Linked DNA regions of Diceros bicornis minor. The protein of the gene in region 2 interacts with the protein of the main gene of each other region in a pairwise test. Links are inferred from orthologs where the notes say so. Each region holds a gene or a part of one and is shown on either strand. Other genes may lie near its edges.

The links. The genes of interacting proteins can lie anywhere in the genome.
Region 1: the proteins of UBE2D4 (region 2) and ZNRF1 interact in binary tests that used the Homo sapiens proteins (3 or more experiments, as listed by UniProt). The link is inferred for Diceros bicornis minor from reciprocal best matches to the Homo sapiens genes UBE2D4 and ZNRF1.

What each region holds. Positions count from the first base shown.
Region 1 is NC_080771.1:25,546,809-25,554,400, reverse strand, and holds the start of ZNRF1 (E3 ubiquitin-protein ligase ZNRF1), read right to left. Parts: upstream 3,023-7,592; 5' UTR 2,622-3,022; coding exon 2,198-2,621; intron 1-2,197. UniProt on the Homo sapiens protein: E3 ubiquitin-protein ligase that plays a role in different processes including cell differentiation, receptor recycling or regulation of inflammation. Mediates the ubiquitination of AKT1 and GLUL, thereby playing a role in neuron cells differentiation.
Region 2 is NC_080780.1:1,119,167-1,127,267, reverse strand, and holds the start of UBE2D4 (ubiquitin-conjugating enzyme E2 D4), read right to left. Parts: upstream 3,043-8,101; 5' UTR 2,950-3,042; coding exon 2,926-2,949; exon of another isoform or gene 2,818-2,925; intron 1-2,817. UniProt on the Homo sapiens protein: Accepts ubiquitin from the E1 complex and catalyzes its covalent attachment to other proteins. In vitro able to promote polyubiquitination using all 7 ubiquitin Lys residues, but may prefer 'Lys-11' and 'Lys-48'-linked polyubiquitination.

The DNA of each region.
Region 1 (7,592 bases), on a different chromosome or scaffold from region 2:
ACCCTTCTACTCTTAGGACACAAGAACAAAAACTGCTCGGGTCTTACTCAGAGGCTTCAAAGTGGAAACAAGCTTCTCTTCTTACAGCAATGAACAAGAGAGGAAAGGGGTGTCCTGGAAGGGAGATCCCATGGCCTGTTCCAGAAGGTGAGATAGAAGAGTGGAAATAATGAAGGCTCATCTCAAATGAACTGCACCAGAAAAAATAACTTTAGTTGAATAAAACAACAAATCCCTAAAGCAGAGATTCTCAATCAGGGTGGTATCCCCACCCCTGACAAGAGCATTTGGAAATTTGTGGGGGCATTTAGTGGGCAGGGCCAGGTACACTCAATGTCTTGCAAAAGGACAGGATGGCCCTATAAAGAATGTATTCCCCCAATAGTAACACCAGCCCCCACGCCCTTTCCTGTATTCCCATGGGTTTCACAGCTGAAGAGTCTGAAATTTGGGAATCCAGTTGTAAGCTCATAACTCCAGCATGGAACCTGGTGGTGAAATAAGGAAAATGAAGTTTCTGGTAAGAGACAGACAAGAAATTTCAGCAAAAAGGGAACTCCTTCCCCAGACAAGCATCTATAAGATTACATTTGTTTTGCAGCACACAAAATTCTATGGTTTTAGAGAAGCTTCTTATAGTGCTTTTTGGTTTAAAATCAGATACTAATGACAGTTCTTTTAAAAACTTAACCACAGTCATCTCACAAATACAACTGACTCTTTCTGGATCATATTTTATCAGAAAGATCATTAATTTCAAGATGTCTAAAGCTGATCAAATGCCTAAAAGTGCCAAAGGCAGTCATGCCTTGCATCTACTTCAGGTCAGAGAAGCTCCAACGATATCCAGAGGTCTGTTCAGGGCTTAAAATACCATCCTAGCTATTCAAAAGCTACTTTCAAGTGTTACCCTAAATTAGTCACTATTTTCCCCCAAAAATATTCCACAAATTAAAGTTTATAGTTTGACAAAAGTTTGAAAAAAAATGCAGACTCTTTCCAGATAAAAAAGAGATCCAAGAAGTCTACTCTACTTCACAATAGCTAGAACAGTGATCCGATAGATAAATCTTCCATAAAGCAATCTTTCTTCTACACAATATCTAAATTTTCTCGACTTTCCCAAAGGAGTCTGAATACATTAACTTCTTCACTCCAACTTGCCAATTAGCAAATAGCGGCCCCACACTCCTTTTGACCAGTTTTCTAGAAGCCTAAGCTGCACGTTAGCTGAGCAGACAAACCTGTTTTCGTCCAGCAGCTCTTGCCAGTGCCTTTTCCACCCTGCCAGTCAGAGCCTGGGAAATCCTCCTCCAGCTTTTCACTGGCCTGTCACCAGAAGTTCACAAAATGAATTCATCCAGATTCTCTGAATCCTCTTCTTCCCTTCTTCCCCTATCTTGTGCCAACAGCCAGGCAATAAAATCCCACCTCTCCATTACAAAAAGATGCAGATTACAGGAAGACCAAGCACTTAGCAAGGAAAGGAAGAAAAAAGATGGAGGGATGTGACAGTCATGGAGCCAAGCCTACCGCATGCAGCACGGGCGACCAGAGCCCTGGTCCTGCAAAGCCTCCAGGGGAGGCTCCCTGGCTGGGCCCTCCATTCAGCACGCCACACCTGTCTATGCCAGCAGCCTGCTCCATTTTAAACAATTCAAACAGATCTCCAGCAGGGTGGCAAAATTGGGCATCCCCCTCTCCCAGCAAGAGTGAGAGCCCTAATCCGAACACCACATGCCCCCAATTTTATTTCTTTTCACACTCTTTATTTGGGAGACCGGCTTGGTCAGATGGGATCCCTCTCTCTCCGTTAACGGCGAGGTAGGCACAATGCTGCAGTGACAGAATGGAAGCACTGAGGCCGACTTGCTGTAAACCAGACAAGACCTCTTTGAGGATGCTGATGCCAATAAATGGGATTTCAATAGGCAGGTTTCACTCTGCCCATCCACAAGTGAACCAACGCTTGAAGTCCTAAAATGCCCGGCTCCGCAGCCTCGCAGAATGCCATGCCTCTTTTCTAGAGGATAGGTATCCCATTCATCCCTTGGCTTTCGGAACCAAGGGGAAGACAGACAGATCCAGGTCGTGCACTCCACATCCAAACCTTCGCACGCGCGCGAAGGTTTGGGGAGCCCCGGCGCGCCCTCCCTTGCACTCCACCCTCCGAGGCCTCCACGATCCGCGGACTCACCACTGTGCGAGCTGAACCACCTGGGTGCGATGTGCAGAGGTAGAGCATCCGCCAGCGAGGCTCGGGAGCCCAGGTACAGCATCCCGTCTCTATGGTGACCGCCGCCCGTCTCCTGGTAACCATTGCCATGGGCATAGGTGGAGTCGGACGCGGACCCTCCGCCGCCGGGCGCCCTCTCCGAGTCGCCGGTCCCCCGGGAGGCGGGGGTGTAGAGGCCAAAGGGCACCCCCCCGGCCGTGCTGGGGTCCATGCCCATGCCTGCCACTGAGCTGACCGAGCGGCTGCGCAGCCCCATGGCCCCGCCGCCCGCCCGGTAGTGCCCAAAGTGGGGAGCCCCTCCCGGCGGGGGCACGGCGCTGTCATCGGTGGAGACCCCCGGGAAGGGGCCCCGGGAGCGGGCCGCCGTGCTCTGCTTGCCCCCCATGCTCGGCCGGGCCCCGGTGGGGCGGGAACCTGGAGGCGGAGACCCTCCCCCACTTCTCAGTAGCGAGGGGAGGGTTGGGCGAGCATAAAGGGGGAGGGAGTCAAAAAGGAGACTGGGAGGAAAAAAGGGAAAAAAAAACAAAAAGAAAAAAGAAAAGAAAACCCGCGGAGCGGAAGAGGCAGGCGGGCGGGGATCCCAAACTAAGAATTTAAAACGATCCAAGCCAAACGCATGTTTCGCCTCAAGGTCCAAAGAGGCGCAGTCCGGCGCGGGCTCGGCGCGCCACAGGCCGCCCCCGGGCTCCCGAAAGCCGGGGGAGCCGCAGGGAAGGAGGGAGGGAGGCGGCGGGCGAGCGGGCGGGCGGGCGCAGGGAGGCGCCAGAGGAGGCCGCCCGCCCGACAGGAGGAGGCGGAGGACGGCTGGGGGCGCCGGGCGCGTCCCCCGCCTCAGGACGCCGCGACCATGGACGGCGGACCGGACCCCTCCAGGCTTCGGGCGGGCTGCGGCGCTGGGCGGCCAGGCGGAGCTCGGGAAGCCGCGGTCGCGTCCCGTCGCCCTCTCGCTCCAGCCACCGCCGACCCCGCCAGCCGCGCCGCCCCGCTAGGTCCCGGGCTGTGCTCGCCGGCGCTCCTCGCCGCCGTGGAGACAATGGAGGGCGGCAGAGCGCAGGCGCGGCCCGCGCCCCTTCCCCCTCCCCCTCCCCCCCCGCCGGGTTAACCCTTCGCGGCCCCTGCGGTGCCCGGCCCCTGACGCCCCGGAGGTCCCCACCCACCCGGTCCCGACCGACCAGTGACCTGAGTGACTGGAGCCACGGGGTGTCGGGAACGGAACAAGGCGTCTTTTCAAAGCAAGCACTCGTTAAGTCCCCGAAAGTGGCTAATTATTCAGGGGGAACCACCTATGGGGGAGGGGTGGCGATGGTTCAAGGGGGTGGGAAGGAAACCGTAGGAAGAATGAAAATTACTCAAGACGCCTACCTGGCTCTGTGGGTCACTGGTCAAGCTCCCCTCCCGGCACAAATTTACCCCCACAGCACCCTCTGGTGGACGTGCGGTCCGTTCTTTGGGAGGTTCCCCATCCAGGGATCCCGAAGATCAGGAAGCTTAGCATTTGGGAGATTTTTGGCTGTTTGCGGGTAAACAGCGCCCTGGGGCACTTGCGACTGCGAATTTTGCTGACAGTAATTCAGAACTTCCTATTTTGGGGTTAAGTAAACGGGTAGATTCCTTAGCTAAAATGTGATCCTTGAAGTCATTAGGTGTACGATAAAGAGTGAAAAGATAGAGATGTGAAAATGGAATAATGTAGCTAGAACTAGTGATTTTAGGAACTCCCTAAGTCCAAGGCGAGTCCCCTGTTTTGTTTACCTTTTATTCGGGCATGTACCACAGGGCCTGGGACATAGTGGGTACTTAATAAATATTTGTTGACCAAGTCTGCATTTTGCAATATGTCTCTCTCACAAATTCACATTCATTCATTCAACAACTATTTTTCAAGTGCTGAGGGCTCGATATGAGCATCACCTAGTCCCTGGCCTGACTTCCTTGCTCTAAATGTCCCCAGATACTTCCAAATCAAGGAGCCAAAACAGGGTGTAAAAGAATATTAAGAGAAAACCAAAAAACAGGAGGGCTGGTCTGTCACAGGTATTGATTGTCCCAGTGTGACCCGCTTGGAAAGAAACAGGAGGAAGGCTATTTGCAAGCATGGGGTGCTTGGGAGTGAACTAAAGGCCCTGCAGAAGGAAGTCAAGAGTTCAGTATGAGAAATGCAGGTAGGAAAAAACAAAATGTTCCAATACCCAAGAAACTATCTTTAAGTGCCTAAATGAAGAATTTGTGCACACCTGAGATCTAAATGAGTGATCTGAAGAAAAACAAGAAAGCTTACATTTAACCCAATTTCCTCCCTGAAGAGAGACCATGGTAATAGAAGAGGGGTGGTTCAGTACTGTGCAGAAAAAAGAATGCTAGATCCCTCGACAGAGCTCTATGGGGGAGATAAATACACAATAGTATTGTAACCGTCTATCTAGCTTTTGATTTACCTATTCATTCAACACTTTTTTAGTGTGTTGAACAAAATATGAATGTCTCATAAGTGTCAGGCACTTATGCACTAGGTTCTGGGATAGAGTGGTGAGCAAGACAGATGGAGTCCTTGTTCTCATGGAAATTCAAAAGAAGCACTTCACACCCACTAAGATGGCTCTAATCAAAAAGAACAATAACAAGTGTTGGTGAGATGTGCAAAAATTGGAACCCTCATACCTTGCTGGTGGGAGTGTAGAATGGTACAGCTACTTTAGAAAACAGTCTGGCAGTTCCTCAAAGAGATTAAATATAGAGTTATATGACCCAGCAATTCCACTTCTAGGTATATTTCCAAAAGAAATGAAAACATATGTCTGCAGAAAACCTTGTACATGAATGTTCATAGCAGCATTATTCAAAATAGCTAAAAAGTGGAAACAACCCAAGTATCCATCAACTGATGAAAAGATAAAGCAAATGTGGTATATCCATACAATGGACTATTGCTCAGCCATAAAAAGAAATAAAGTGCTGTTATGTACCATAACATGGATGATCCTTGAAAACATTATACTAAGAAGCCAATCACAAAAGACCACATATTGTATGATTCCACTTATGTGAAATGTCCAGAATAGGCAAATCCATTGAGTCGGAAAAATTAATGGTTGCCAGGGCCTGGAGGAAGGGGAAAATAGAGAATGACTGTTAACTGGTTTCTTTTTGGAGTGATGAAAATGTTCTGGAATTAGGTAATAGTGATGGTTGCACGACCTTGTGAATATACTAAAAACCACTGAATTATACACTTAAAAGCGTGAATTTTATGGTATGGGAATTACAGTGTAATACAGTGCAATTTTTTGGTATGTGACTCTATATATATGAAGTATTGAAGCAGGCAGTGACAATACAGTGTGATAGATAAGTCTAGAACAGTGCCTGGCATGTAGTTGGCACTCAATAAATATTTTTCAAATGAATGAATGAATAACTAAGTCCTATGAGAGTGAAAGAGCATGGTGCTGAGGGAAGGAGACAGGCACAAACACAGTGATTCTAAGCCAAGACCTAAAAGGTGGGTGGGAGATTAGCCAGGGAATGGGGTGGGGGGAGAACTGTGTTTCAGGAAGAGAAGAATGTTCCAAGCAAAGGGAACAGCATGTTCAAAGGCCCAGAGAACATGGCATCTTCAAAGGACTGAAAGATGCAGTAAAGCTGCAATGAGAGGAGCCAAAGATGAAGCTGGTCCTCAGGGACAGACAAGAGGGTCCTGTCAGCCATGGTAGGGAGCATGGACCGTGTCTATATTTTTCTGTTCTTTTCTCTTCTTTTCTTTTTTTTGGTGAGGAAGATTAGCCCTGAGCTAACATACGTTGCCAATCCTCCTCTTCTTGCTGAGGAAGATGGGCCCCGGGCTAACATCCCTACCCATCTTTCTCTACTTTATATGTGGGACGCCGCCTCAGCATGGCTTGATAAGCAGTGTGTAGGTCTGGCCTGGGATCCGAACCTGCGAAGCGCAGGCCGCCAAAGCGGAGCGCACAAACTTCACCACTATGCCACCGGGCCGACCCCTGTATTTTTCTTAGTGTATATATTCATAAAGATACTGGATGGAAACATGAAATGACATAATGTTGTCCCCTGGGGGGTGGGCAGTAGGAACTGGAGAGTTCGGTGACGGGATGGATGAGAAATATTTCATTTCGTTATATATCTTTTTGTATTTTAGTGTTTGAGCCATGTAAATTTATAGAGACCAACTGATAGAGAGGTAGAGGTAAATATAAAGTATATCCCACATGCACAGTAAAAAGTCACACAGCTAGTAGGAGCAGAGCTGGACTTCTAAGCTTTACAGTGAAGGTGCTCATCAAGGAATCTTTGGATGACAATTTCATTTTCTCTGTATGCTTTCCAATGGGGTGAAAAAGATTAGATCTGCTTAACAGCTATATTCCTTTTTGTTTATTAATAATTTGCCCTTAAAGTTTATATTCCAGACTACTGGTTATCATAAGCCGGTCTCTCTCACATTGGGCACCACTGAATAGCTGAGGGCCTGAACTGCGAAGGTGAAGCCTCTATTCTCTGCAATGTCATGACACTAAGCTTAGATGCCCTGTGGGACCCTGCATGGCAGCCTTTCTCAGGCGATGCCCTTGTTATCTCCTTGTGCTTTTATTCAAACGACAATTTTGCCTCTGAAATGAAAATATTAAAATACAGAACGAGGAAAGTTCTTCATTCAGTAGCTTGATTCTACACTTGACATCTTAGAGAGGGTGACTCATGGCTAGCAACAGGCATCCGCGGAGACCTGCAGCCTCAGATCAGTTTCATTTTGTCATTTGTTGTATCAGGAGTCCAGTATGTTTTCCTTCAAGTTTCTCCTGTGGGTTCTTGGTTTAAAGTTAATGGATCTGAGGAGATGTCAAGTCATTTTGGACACTCTCAATGCAGGGATATAGATGCAGAAATGGCCCCAGCTAGATTTGGGACTGTTTTTTTTTTTTTTATCTTCATGTTCTCGCTGACCCTGGGTGAGCTGCTTCCTGGCTCTCCTTCAGCTGTGAAACAGGGTTAAGAAACCACTAACCCATCTACCAGATTAGTCAGAGAAAGAGCTGATAAAAATTAGCGTTGCTGAAGCCTGCAGATGCTAGTGCATACCAATGCTGCAAAGCCCCAGTTTTAAACATCTTCGAAAGAATATAAATCTGAGACTTGAAGGGTTTAGAAAATGGGGGAAATGGCTTGTTAGGGCCTACTCCTGGGACGCCTTGGGAAACTCATGGCCTCCTCTCTGTCTCCACGAGCCGGAGGGAGGGGAGGGCTTCCCGTGGCTTTGGAGGGAGCCCCTTCAGCACCTCCTCTGGGAGTGGACTTGTGTCTCCAAGTAAGAAACTTCCTCCCAGACCTCTCGGAGCTC
Region 2 (8,101 bases):
GTTCAGTTCTGGTCTCTTAGGAGACACAGACTCACCCTCAGCTCCAGGTCTAGCAGTAGCCAGACATTCTAAAAGCAGTCTTGGCACTCACTGGTTCAAGAATGAGCATGTAACTTAATTCATAACAAGTAAATAAAGGAAAAAAAAAAGATTTTCTTGGCTCTCGGAGAACTTCTGGAAGCCAGCGTCTCTCTTCTTCTTAGGGGATGCCCAGTGGGCTATGGGGCCCAGAGCTGCTCAGTCCAGAGAATCTCATGGAAACAGAGCAGGAGCCCCAAAGTCACTCCCAAAGTCCTGTGGACCTCCAATTCTGTAGCCAGGGCAGCTGGGCCTCTGTCACTTCCAGCCAAGGCTTCCTAACTTGTCCCAGTGTTGCCTTCTCACCACTGTGCACTGGACACATTTTTCAAGACATTTCCTACCATTGCATTGTTTCTTCCAGGACTTGCTACATAATTTTCAGAGTCCTCATGCAAAATGAAAATACAGGGTCTCTTCTTCAATAATTATTGAATTTCAACATGGTGACTGCAGAGCACTAACCCAGGGACAGGGCTCTTCACAGCAAAGGGCCCTGTGAGACAATATAGGTCACATACCCAGGAAGCCAGCTCTGGTTTCCTCCTTTATTGATTCCTGTCAAGGCAAGTTCTCCCTAGCCTTCTGACTTCAATTACCTTATATCTATGGCTGCCATCTCAGCCTCAAGGTCCTAACTTGTTTCTCCTAGTTTTCCCTTTTATAAATATGATCAGGCTATGTGTTCAAACATCTAGGTTCAAACCTACACTCCTTATCTCCCCAACCCTGCTCCCTGTCCTCAAAACTTCTGATTCCTCATCTTAGGCAATGACACCACCATCTACCCAGTTATCCATCTTGTGGATGGATACACCACATACTCTTCTTCAAGTCCTGTCAATTCTACCTCTGCCATGTCACTCAAGTACTGCCCTTGCCTTGGTATCCATTCCACAGTCATTAATCTGGGCAAAGCCTTTGCTGGACTTTCACAATAACCTCTACTCTCCCTCTGCACGAGTCTCTGGCCCACTCCAGGCCACATCACCGCCAGAAGGATCTTGTTATAACACAGATCTGAGCATGTGATTCACCCGGTTCAAAGTCCTAGGATGACAGATGACCCCTTTAGAGAATAATTTGCCAAAAAAATTCCTTTTTGGAGAGCTAATTATAAAAAATGAGTCACACCCTTAGAGATCCTGTAATTCCATCTCTGGTAATCAAATCTAAGCCTACTGTGCAATAATGCTCATCACAGCACTCTTATGAAGAATTTAGAATATCAATGGCAGTTAACTCATATTTAGTGCTTGATATATACCAAGCATGTGTTAAACATGTATCATCTCATTTAAGTCTTAAAACAACTCTATATAGGACACAGAGGCTGGGAATGATTAAGTGCCTTGCCTGTGGTCCTACCACAGGTGACCTCATTCTCTACCCCAGGTCCCTCAACACCCATGTCCATGTGTTTACTCGCTACAGGTACTGATTAAGTTACTGGTCACTTTCTTACAGAAAGTTAGTGTTAAAAATTATGACTATGAATACTGTTTCACAACATGGAAAATGCTCACGTTTAAGGCTATGTGATAAAAGTGGGATACAAAATACAGTATGATTATTTTCTTTAAAGTATAGGAAAAAGACTGGTAGTAGATATGCTAGGATGTCAACAAATGGTAAGGTGGTAGAATTGGGAATATGTTTTCTTTCTTCTACTACTGTGCATTTTCCAAATTCTAGTTAATATCATGGAAATTAATAAAAGAAATCATAACTAAATCACAGTTGCAAAGCCCTGTATGGGGAGCTCTCACACCGCATCATGCACCAAACAGGAAGAGACCTGCGTGCATCTTGGACAGGAAGTAAAACTACTTTACTACTGAAGGAAGATTTCTCTCTCAACCTAGCAACAGCCCAGCCAATGAGAAATGACAAGCTCAGCCAATGAGAAGCCACAGCTTCCCTGAAATGTTACCTTCCCCCAATGCACTTTCACTTAGAACAGCACCCTCCCCCACCTCTTTCTCTCTATAAAAGCAGCAACCCTCTTTTAAAAAAGTTTTCCGGATTTGCCTATGGTTTGCCATAGCATGTACATTCTGAATTGCATTTCTTTTGGGTATTCTGGAATAAATTCGTTTTGAGGATAAAATAACAGGAATTTGCTTTTTAGTTTGACAATATATTAATCGCCTATAACGACTCCCAGTTACCTACAAGATAAAAAAACAGTTATGCCAGCACTGGCCCTAAGACCCAGTCCAGGCCCATTAACCCACTCCCATCCCCTGCTTCAGCATCCTGCTCCGGTCATCTTCATTGGGCCCCAAGCCAAGCCACGCGGTCTTCCTGTGGCCGAGAACGCCCTTGTCCCTTTTCTCCAGTTGCAGAGTTCCAACTCATTCCTTAGGACCCAGCTCCAACCACGACTCCCCCGCCCAGCCCTCCCGACACTTTTACAAGGGCGAGCCCTCATTCCTCAGACAACCGGCGCCTTCTCGTGGCCCGGGACAGGCAACGACAGAGCCCTGAGTCTGAACATCGCAGCAGGCACCACCGTCAACTCCCCCTGCCGCCCCGCCTAGCCCACCAGCCAACCTGCCAGCCTGACGCAATCCCCACGTGACTCCGGGCACGCCCCTCCAACCCCGCCCCACCGCCCCACGTGACGCTGGCCCCGCCTCGCGCGCCGCGCCGTGCCCTTTTAAGGCGGCGCCGGCGGCAGTTCCGCCCCCCCCCCCCCCCCCCCCCCCCCGGCAGGTGTCGCCGTGGTCTGCCCACCTCAGCCGCTGTTCACTTGGGAGCCACGGCGCCCCCGCCCGCGAATCGAGGCTTCAGACCCCCACGCTTCGGACTCGCAAGAAGCCCTAGCGGGGGAGGGCCCCTTACCTTCTGGATCCGCTTCAGCGCCATCCTACCCCAGCTGCTGGAGACGGGGGCGGCTCGGCCCCGGGCTGCCAGAGGCTGCCCGCTGCCGGCTCGGCCGCGGCGCAGCGCTGCAAGCCGGGAACGGCCGCCTGCGCGTGCGCGCCGCGGGGCACTGTGGGGCCGGCGTCCCGCGGTTGGCGCGTACCGGAGCGGGCGGGCGGAGTGGGCCTGGCGAGCGGGAGCGGCCGCGTCGTCTGTCGCTTGCTGTGTGGCGCCCGCCGCGGCCCAGCCCCCGGGTCAGCGAGGGTCTGGGGAGGCCGGCGGAGAGAGGGACACTCGTTGGTTTAACAGTGACTCGCCGAGCACCTGGGAGGGGCCGGCGGCCGTGCTCCCTGTCCTTGCCTCCTGGGCTCCCTCCCAGGCTGTCGCATACTCCTGAAAATAGTGGTTCTCAGCTCTGCTTTGAACTTAAGTCTGTAAGTATTCATACCCTTTTACGTGTTACGTGTCAAATATGTCACAGCTCTTTCCGTAGAAATACACATAACAAAGTTTTAAATGCAGTGGGCTTGGAGGTGTGCGTTTTCAGTAATGCTTCGGGTGATTTTATGGCGCTGCCTAGGCTGAGAACCACGGCCTTACACTGCACATCCAAACTTGATTCTCTGTCTCCTTCCCTTTTTCCCAAGACCTGGCAGGCATCTAGGTCAGAGTTTTTCAAACTGTGGATTAGGAACAATTAGTGTGTCACGAAATCAGTTTAACGGGTTGCAGCCAACATTTAAAAACTGGAATAATACAGAATACAGAATATTAGTGCATCTCACGTAGTAAAGGTGGGAAGTGTGCAAGTTCCGTTGTGTGTATGTGTGTAGATGATAACACGCATCCTCCAAAATCATGCATTTTTGGGAGTGAAAGGGAAGTGCAGTATAGTTACTCTAGGCCCAAAGGTGTAATCTGGGGTTGTCTCTGGCCAACATATGGTCACCTGTGTGTGTGTACTCAGTCAGAATATAAAATGTATTATAGACGTTTCCACGGTCCCTAGCCGTGTCCCTTGCCCAAAACTCGACAAGGATGCCCCACGGCCTACAAGGATTACATCCTGTCGCATAAGGCTCTTCAAAATCCAGTATGGTCCAGCTGGCTTACTATGAAGGGTTTCCATCATGCTCCCATTACGTTCCTTTACTCGTGGCTGTCCTCTGTCTGGAAGGCTCCCTCTTTCCTTCCACCAAAGCAGAGCCATCCCTCACCTTGCAAGGCGAGCTAAGGCATCACCCCCCTGAATGCCCCTGGTGGAGCACCTTTTTTTGGTGTTCCTGTTAGTCAGTGAGTCGTCCATCCCGGAATTGTTTACGTGGCTCTCCCCTCATAGAACAAATGATCCCAAATTTTTATAAATGTTTATTTGTGTAAGAATATAAACTTAAGTGACAACAATGGTTATCTCTGGATGGTGACTTTACTAATGATGTTAATTTCCAAAATTTCCACAGAGAATCTGCTCACTTGTATAATCCGGAAAAGAAATCCAGGAAAAAGAAAAGAAACGGAATTGTGTTGAATAGCAAATGAAAAATTCCATTTCTGCTTCCTGTTGGTAGTTTAGCACATAGTCTTCTAAGCTTTTTACATAAACTTTTATACATAGTTTTTTATTTTGAAGTAGTTTTAGATGTACAGAAGTATCGCAAATATAATAAAAGATTTAACAATTGATAAATTGGACTTCATAAAAATTTAACACTTTTGTGCTTCAAACAGCACCATCAAGAAAGCAAAAAGACAACCCACAGAATGGGAGAAAATATTTGCAAATCATGTATTTGATAAGGGTCCAGAACATATAAAGAACTCCTGCAACTCAATAAAAAAGACAAACTAATTAAAAACTGAACAAAGGATTTGAATAGGAATTTCTTCAAAGATATAGAAATGGCCGATAAGCACGTAAAACAAAGAAGCTCAATGTTGTTAGTTATTAGGGAAATGCAAATCAAAGACTCAATGAGATACCGCTTCACACCCTCTAGGATAGCTATAATCAAAAGGACAGCCAATAACAGGTGTTGGTGAAGATGTGGAGAATTTGGAACTTGCACACTTTACTGGTGGGAATGTAAAATGGTGCAGCCACTTTGGAAAACAGTTTGGCAGTTCCTTAAAAAGTTAAAGTTATATGACCTTGCAATTCCTTTCTTAGGTTTATACCCAAGAGAGATTAAAACATGTCCACACAGGAACTTGTACACAAATGTTTATAGCAGTGTGATTGATAATAGCCAAAAGGTCAAAACAACCCAAATGTTTAATGGATAAACAAAATATGATATATCCACAAAATGGAATATTTTGGCAATAAAAAGAATGAAGTACTGATATATGCTACAACATGGGTATATTAGATTGCTGTGGTTGATGTAACGAAGTACTACAAACTGGGTGGCTTAATAGAAATTTATTGTCTCACAGTTTTGGAGGCTAGATGTCTGAAATCAAGGTATTGGTAGGGTTGGTTCCTTCTGAGGGCTGTGAGGGAGGATCTTTTTTCCACCTCTCTCTTCTAGTTTCTGGTAGCCTCAGGCATTCCTTGGCTTACAGATGGTGTTCTCCTTGTGTCTTGACATTGTCTTCCTTGTATGTGTGTCTGTTTCTGTGTCCAAATTTCCCCTTTTTATGAGGACTCAATCATAGTGGATTAGGGCCCACCCTAATGACCTCATCTTAACTTGACGTCTGCAAAGACCCGAATTTCAAATAAAGTCACGTACACAGGTACTGGGGATTAGGACTTTAGCATATTTTGGGGGGACACAATTCAACATGTGAACCTTGAAAACATGCTAAATGAAAGAAGCCAGTCGCAGAAGACCACATATTGTGTGATTCCATTGATATGAAATGTCCAGAATAGGCAACTCTACAGAGACAGAAAGTAGATTAGTGATTGCCTAAGGCTAAGGGAGGGTGGGGAATAGGGAGTGATTACTAATGGGTAAATTTTATGTCTGTAAAGCTGTTTAAAATATAATAACAACAATACACAGTTCTTGTATACGCTTCACCCAGCTTCCCCTAATATTAGCATATTACATAACTGTAATGCAATTATCTAATCCAGAAAATTAACGTGTATACAATACTATTAACTAATTTACAGACTTTACTTAAATTTTGCTAATTGTCCAGCTAACAGCCTTTTTCTGATCCAGGATCCGATTTAGGATCCCATGTTGCATTTGCTTGTCTTGTCACCTTAGCATCCTGCAATCTTAGACAATTCTTTAGTCTTTCTTTGTCTTTGATGACCTTGACACTTTTCAAGAGTATGGGCAAGTTATTTTGTAGACTATCCTTCAGTTTGGGTTTTCTGATTGATGAGATTAAGGTTATGCATTTTTGGCAAGACTGTTACAGAGTGATGTTCTGCCCTCAGTGCGTCGTACCAGGAGGTACATGACATTGGTAAGTCTTGTTACTGGTAAAGTCTGATCACTTTAAGTTGATATTTGTCATATTTCTCCACTGTAAAGATAAAAATTTTTCTTTTTAAATTAATAGTAGCTTGGGAGAAACTTTGAGGCTATGTGAATACCTTATTTGTTTTTTCAATCTTACTTTCATGCGGTAATTTTAGATTCCCTTCTTGCCTACGGCAGTTATTACTGTGGTGTTTACCAAATGTTAATTTTCTGTTTCTAGTTTTCTTTCTACATTTATTAATTGGAATTCTACTGTAAGGAAGCGCTGTCTTTTCTCCCTCGTTTATTTATTCAAGTATTTTGTTTATATCAGTGTGGACTCATGGATTTTTATTCTATCAGTTTTAATCCATTAGTATTGTTATTTATATGTTGCTCAAGGTGTCCTAGATTTGGCTATTGAGAGCTTATTGTAGGGAGCCTCTAAGATGACCCCCAACAATCCCCACCTCCTAGTATTCAAGCCCTTTTGTAATCTCCTCTCCTTTAGTGTGGGCTGGATTTAATGATATTTTTGTGTGTGTGTGTGAGGAAGATTGGCCTTGAGCTAACATCTGTTGCCAGTCTTCCTCTTTTTGCTGAGGAAGATTGGTTCTGAGCTAACATCTGTGCCTATCTTCCTCTATTTTGTATGTGGGATGCCACCACAGCATGGCTCGACGAGTGGTGTGTTGGTCTGCGCCCAGGATTTGAACCTGTGAACCCCAGGCCACCAAAGCAGAATGCACGAACTTAACCACTACACCACTGGGCCAGCCCCTAGTGATGTTTCTAATTAATAGAAAAGGTGATGGGATGTCACTTTTGAGATTAGGGTAAGAAAAAGACTGGCTTCTATCTTGGGCAACCTCTCTGGCCCTCTCATTTTTTTGCTGCCTCGCTCCCTTACTCCCTCTCTCTCTCTCTCTCTCACTCTGATGGAAGCCAGCTGCTATATTGTGAGCTTCCCTATGGAGAGGCCCCTGTGCCAAGGAACTGAGAGAGGCCTCCTGGCAACAGCTAGTGAAAATGAAGCCCCTCAGTCCAACACCCCACAAGGAACTGAATCCTGCCAACTCCATGTAAACGAGCTTGAAAGTTGATCCTTCCCCATTCAGGCCTTAAGATGATCCTGGCTCACAGCTTAAGTGCAATCCCATGAAAAACTTTGAGCCAAAAGAACTTGTATTAGTTTGCTAGAACAACCATAAAAAATACCATAGGCCAGGTGTCTTAAACAACATAAATTTATTTTCTCACAGCTCTGGAGGTTAGAAGTCCTAGATCAAGGTTCTGGCTGACTTGGTTTCTGATGACAGCTCTGTTCCTGGTTTCTAGATGGCTTCCTCACTATATCTTCACATGGTCTTTCTTGGTGCGTGAACACAGGTCATGGGGGTGGAGGGAGAGGGTTAGCTCTCTGATGTCTTTTCTTATAAGGACACTAGTCCTATTGGATCAGGGCCCCACCCTTATGACCTCATTTAACCTTAGAGTCATGTGCTGCATAACAACGTTTCGATCAATGACGGACTGCATGTATGATGGTGGTCCCATAAGATTAGTACCTTATAGCCGAGATGTATAGTAGGCTAAACCATCTAGCTTTGTGTAAGTACACTCGATGTTTGTACAGCAAAATCAGTTAATCATCTCTCAGAAGTATCCCCATCATTAAGTGATGCATGACTGTAATTACTTCCTTGGAGGCCCCATCTCTAAATATAGCC